2 linked regions of the Saccharomyces cerevisiae S288C genome follow. Changing the gene in region 1 together with any one later gene gives a genetic interaction. Each region holds a gene or a part of one and is shown in the gene's direction. Other genes may lie near its edges.

Region 1 (3,399 bases):
GAATCAACAGTGCCAACAAAATCATTGATTACGGGGTGTAGCGCCACAGTGTTCCTCTTCCCGAATTGGTTGCTCGATCTTCTTGTGCCACCTGTGTGGAAAAATTTTAAACATTGACCCTGAAGTTCCTCCGGAGCAGCCACTCGAACTTCGTCTTCGTTGTCATCGTCGTTTCTTGAAAAAGAGTACTCCATGTCCCAGTGGTAGACATTACCCGTTCCTCCAACCGTAACAAATTCTGTTGCAGAGGTTTGTGAGAACAGGATATCGACAACGGAATCGCCGCCAGAATGGAACAACTTGGCTATTTCGTTTTGGATCGGTTCCTCGCCGTTCTGCCTATGTGTGAGGTCAGTAGTAGCCAGTTGCACAGCACGCGCATCCCATAGCTTGATGACACCCGTGCTGAACCCAGTGACAAATAGGTTTTCAGTAACTTGAGAGGAATCGAAGGACGTTAGTCGTCCATTTTTCGGTTCGCTTAGCGTCCAAAGCGGTTTGTCCGCTGTTCTTGTGTCCCAGAATCTTAAAATGTTGTCATCTGAACAAGATGCAAATAAATGGTTGTTAAAAAATCTAACTGAGTGAGCCACGTTGGTCCCTGGAACGTGCACTGTACGTAATATATCTCCCGGTCTATCGGAGTTGTCGATGATTTTCAAGATGCTGTCCTCCTCGTAGCCGTTACTTTGTGACTTTACTACCGTATCCATATTTGTCGACACATCAAAATCTGACACTGCTAATGAACCTGGTCTGGTTAGAGAGTGAATACTAGAGTATCTAGTAGCAGGGCCCATCATTTCCTGTACGATATGAACGGGAACCTTGATCTCATCTCTGAACCATGCCAAAGAGCCGTTCTTGGACATCGCGATCGCCGTACTGTCGTCTGAGCTTTCCAAGTATTGCATTTTTGCCACTGTTTCGCCCTGGTAAATCCACTTTGGGCGCAATGGTTTCCCCTCAACATCTTGGAAAGCATCACCATACTCTGGATTTGGGGTGGCTGCAGACTTCGTCTTGCCGTTACCTTCTTCGTCGTCGTCGTCGTTGTCGTCGTCGTCGTCGTCGTCATAGAATGTCTTTAATGGTAAAGTAGTGTCTATTTCGTAAATATCACTACCTTGAGAATATAAAAGACTAGTCGTCAAGGTGCCCTTGGATTTGTCTGGAATAATCTCACTTCTCCATGTCAGTGTCTTGCTAAAATGTAAAACATCGTCGACTCTTGTGCTGAATTGTGGTTTAAAGCTAGAAATGTGTTGGTATAAAGAAGGTGCCGGTTTACGGCGTGCTCCACTCGCACCCTGACTGGATTTGCTTTTCGCCATCCTCTATCCTTTTTAGTTCTTGCTCCCGTCGCTACTAATTGCTCCTTGTCTTATAAGTAAATGTAGCTGTACAGCAGAGATGTTCCATACGTCAGCTAACTAATTGCCTTTAATCTTTTTTTTTTTTATTTTTTTTTTTTTTCAAAAACAATAGAATTGAAGATGTGAGATGGAAAGGGAAATCAAAGTGCCATAAATGGTAAAGGCTTGCATTATGACCCGAATGGGTAAGAATGATCCAATGAGAGTCTGCGGACGCATATGTGCGGAATATGACTTAGCAGTTCGAACCCCGAACGGGGCTAAAAAACCAAAAGGACAAACCTTATGCGGAACATCTACCATCTATTCAAGGGAGTATAGCTTCCGTGTAGACTATAGAAGAAGCGTTCCAGTCAATTCTACTACATCAGTCTTCCGACATCGCTGATTGTATCCTAACCAGGTCCACAACTAAAATTTGTTTTGAAAAGAGTGGCTAGAGAGCGAATACGTGCTCTGTAATTGTGTGAGGCAAGTTGGTCGTCAATTGGAAAATAAGTAAGGAAAACCTTGTGTAGATTGTATTGCTCCTAACAGGTCCCGAATTACTAGGGCATATACCAGTTAGCCCAGAGTTTTGTTTATTACGATGATAAAGTTGCATGAAGTGCCTCCAGAACCAGTAGACCCTGCTAGTCTCCCTCATGATGTTAATGCACATAGCCCCGAAGGAGATGGTAATCCTGATAAGAGGAAAAAAATATTTGGCATTCCGTATCCTTTTTCCAGGAGTTCATGTCGGAGATTCCTTTGGAACTGTCAAAAGATTTCGGTACTGCCCATGGCATTGTATTTCCCACTACATGCAGCAAATACATTAATCACGCCGGCAGTATCACCTGATTCTGCTCCTGACGACGTTTTAATGATGGTGAGAGAGATTTTACCGTCCATAACTACCAAGCTGTTAGTTGCGGGTATTACTCTTCATGTTTCTGCTGGTGTCTTGCTCCGAATCGTGAACAACTGGAACAAGCCAAGAAGAAATAGACATCGACATTTAAAGATATCGGCCGAACAAGATCTATCCCAAGATTCGATTGGTTTAACTGGTGGAATTTCTGGCTATTTATTTGGATTGTATAAGACCTTCCGCATTCCTCCACAAGTGATTAGTGGATACATCCTTGTTCCCGTCCTGATATACCACTTATTAATTATGAAATGGGTGCCGAATTCCATCTCTACTGAGGTGGATTTCGCCTCTATAAAGCAATTACTATCTAGCAAGAACAGGTGGTGGAAATGGCTTGGAGGCCTGGTGCCGTTAGCTATTCTCCTCGAGTCAGGTGTATATCATATAGGTTCGGGGCTCTGCCGTTATTTCGGTGTTAGAAAAATGACTAGCAGGAAAAAATGGTCCACAGCTATCAATCTATTAACACTCGTTGGGTTCGTTTCTCTGATTAGATTGATGAAAGAGGATTCTACGAAACTGGGTCCCAACCAATTCGAAAGCATTTTCAAAAAGATCCGGTTGCTGTTGCACGTGAATTAGGAATCCTTGTGGGAGTAGTGTGAAGCTATTAATTTGCGACAATTCTCGAACAGTTAATTATATTATTCTCAGTATTTATTTTAAATTTCTGTATTTTTATCTGATTAATAACATTAGTGTGCATAATGAAGGCAAAAAATTTCGGCAGAAAGTATATGATTATGAAAAAACGTAAAATACATATACACATAAAACGTACATACATATATAGATTCCTAAGAATACATTATTGATGGGATATTTATACAAAGATGCACCTTCTAATAATCGAAAGAGAAAGGAAAGACAGAAGCATAAAATAATTTAGGTTTTACTGTGACGAACATTAGACAGATCGTTCAATAGTTTGTCATATTTTTTTGTCACTGTTTCATCTTCAACAAGGGGCCTCTGCAAAGGCGCCTTTTGTTGTGATTCTTGTAAACTGTCATTACTCGGGCTTCTAGAGTTCAATTCATCTCCATATAATGATTCCAATCCAACCTTTTCAGAGGTAACATTTTTAATCAGATCATCTACAGAATC
Region 2 (3,020 bases), on another chromosome or scaffold:
AGACATCCTAAGTCCAATAGAAGAAACAAGCGAGAAATAGCGGAACCAGGAAACCGAAGTTGAAGGAAATTCTTTCTTTCAATTAAGCTTTTTGTTACCATTTAGGAAACTTCCACGGTGTCATAATTGTGTTTTGTTTGTTTACTTCTGCAAGTTAATGAAAATCCTGGCGGACGACAGCCAGTAATGGCCGGAGAGTGCTTTATTTTGCCCAGCAAAAAAATTTTGCGAGTGTAACAAAGAGCGCGAGAGCAGACTACCACTAAGAAAAGCTTCGGGCAATGCGCAGCAAAAAATAGAAAAAAATGAGCAAAAAAGAGAAACATATTTTAACATGGTCTCCGTGCCTTCGGCGTACCCAGACAATTACGGTTAACACCCACAACGTCAAACAAGATAATATGTTCCACGCTTCGGACTAGAAAGTGACATATCACATGTATGGTAGTATCGTAGGTATAACATCCTTCCGCCATCAAACCCTTGTGGCCTATGAGTGCCTATGCAGGTAATTGCTCCAATAAAGATTAAGCAATTTTTTATCCCATAATTAATTGTCGCCAACCCAACCGAACCAATCCTTTACAATTTTTCACCTTACGCCATAACAAAAATGAGACAACCCCGCCACCTACTACTGATGCAATTATTAACACGTTTTCATCCGTTTATATTTCTCTCCGGCCGTTCAGCACCGGCTTGACCAGCCGGTGCTGAGGACAAGAAAAACACAGCGAAAAAAGGTGGGAGAACGAAGCTTCCGCAATTCTCACACACCAAAAAATGAGTTACCGGCCGTCTCTTCTTTTGCCCCTCGCATATAATGGGATTGCGAACGGAGAACGACAGCAATATAACAAGCGTACGTGATCCCTTTCATTCTGTTATATTCGAGAATAGTTGTTGACAGTGGAGATAACTCCGAAAATATCATGAAAAAGAGGGTTATTTCCGTTCGTCGGGACATTGCTGTAGAGCTCTTCAATGGCCACAACTTGGGAGCGTTAATATGCAATCAAGTTGTAGGGAAGATTATATCTCTCCAGGGATTATTACCTGGGACACAGAGCTCTTTTCCTTATCTCATCTCACGCATCTAGACCCTGCTAGCCGTCGTTTCTTATTTGAAGCGTTAATCACCCTCACTTTTCGTCCGTAGCACGTAAAAAAGAAAAATAGGGTACCGTTTACCTGTCGTTAATATGCAAGTCATTAACAATCCAGCCCAGTACTTTATTTGCTATGGCACGGCATAGGCGCAGGGAGTTCACGATTTGGTCATCAATGATTATCACGATATGGGGGTCCTTATGATCTTGATGTTCTTTCAACTGCTCTTTGTTTCTTTTTTTTTTGTACGACAGTTTATGTGTTAAAGAACACATCCACTCCAATTTTGGGTCGTTTATACTTTTGTTTCGCTAATCTTAAGCCAACCTTGAGTTTATACCTAATTATATGCCACGTTAATGCACAAAACCCCTCGTAATAAACTTTCCTTGGAAGACTTTCTTTTTCTATTCGACGCATTTGGTTACATATCTGTTGGGAAAGAGCCCTTCGACTGCAAGTCCGGCATCAAGAAAGCTTGACATCCAAAGAAGCATTTAAGTATAAATAAATGAGACCCATTCTATCTTCTCAAATAAATCTTTTACAAATATGTGAACGTCAAAGCGCATACTTAATAAAAATTTATACTCTACACCACCTTCGTTATTACTTCACTGAAGTTTCCCTTTCCAGCAAGATATGGGCAAATTTGAGCAAAAAGAAAGAGAAAGAATAAGCACATTTAGTTTTCCTACTACGGGCAGTCAATCTAGTACATCCATTAAATCACTTGGCAGCCCACTCTATGGACGTTTCAGCTCTCTCTCTTCAACAGAATCTCAGTTCGATAGCAGCAAACAACCCCATGAGTACGAAAAGAGCTTTTATTTTGAAGAGTCTCAAGGCGAAGCTCTGTTCAACAAGCTGAAGACCTACTCTTTCCCTGGAGACAAGGATGGTGTGAAAACGAGGAGAAATTCCTCCATATGTCCAAGAAAGCCTAATGCGGTATCACCTTTAAGGGTAGAAAGTAATGAATTATCATCACATTCGCATTCACGTTCATTATCACACGAACTTACAAAGCCTTCAGGGCGAAGGAAAAGTTACCACAGAAAAAGTCATGCAATCTCATTCAGCAGGTCTTGTAAGCCAAATTTCATTGACGGGTACGATTCTAATTCAAGCATAGGCGTCAATTCAAGAAAAACTTCATTGGCAAGTTCTTTCTTGGACAAAGAATATCATTCTTCACCGGATACTTCATATACCCACCAAATGTCCCCGAAAAACACAATCATGAATACCAATGAACAATTAAGAAGAAACGCAAGCGGTAGATTCGGGAGTTTGAAAGAATTCGCTGAAAAAAATCAGATAAATATTGAGGGCAAAATTTTTGCTCATAAAGTGGAAACTGGAGACATATTGCAACCACTAATTGACTTAGATATTGACAATAAATGACTGGATCATTTGTCTCGCATTTTTTTTTTTCGTTTGTTTTGATAAATAAAGGACTTAATGTTAGTTTTGATAATGTTAAATGAATATATAAAAATAAACCATGTAAAGAGTATTTTGTTACGCTGTTTCGTTATAGCGTTATGTCAGTGTTATTATTTCTTATACGCGGAAAAGCCTGATCCATTCTGTTCTGAAACCGATCTTCATATTTTAAATTTCGCGAATTAACTAAAAAAAGAAAACAAACAAAAACTCGTTTCAAGTATTGCCAATGATACAAACAAAACGTTTCAAAGTATCTCCTCAACTGACGGACTTTGAAAGAGCCCGAAGATTTAAACAATGGACTGGGCAATCAAAGCAGCTAGGAAGAAAACTCAAAGGAAGCCAGGCTCTACCCGTTCAATCATAGAAACCCTCGATGATCTAAATAATCTAACAACAGATGCACATTCAGAAATAAATCAACGATTGTACGAAAGTAGTGAATGGTTAAGAAA

Evidence for each region. Genes that interact genetically often act in the same process or in processes that back each other up.
Region 2: mutations in MCP1 (region 1) and ICS2 together harm fitness more than expected from each alone (negative genetic interaction), as found in Saccharomyces cerevisiae (one large-scale study listed by BioGRID).

What each region holds. Positions count from the first base shown.
Region 1 is NC_001147.6:766,344-769,742, reverse strand, and holds MCP1 (Mcp1p), read left to right. Parts: upstream 1-1,965; coding exon 1,966-2,874; downstream 2,875-3,399. Other genes in the region: WTM2 (transcriptional modulator), read right to left, coding at 1-1,334; HER1 (Her1p), read right to left, coding at 3,178-3,399. UniProt on the Saccharomyces cerevisiae protein: Recruits the lipid transfer protein Vps13 to mitochondria thereby promoting vacuole-mitochondria contacts. Involved in mitochondrial lipid homeostasis.
Region 2 is NC_001134.8:553,043-556,062, reverse strand, and holds ICS2 (Ics2p), read left to right. Parts: upstream 1-1,752; coding exon 1,753-2,520; downstream 2,521-3,020. Other genes in the region: SLI15 (Sli15p), read left to right, coding at 2,863-3,020.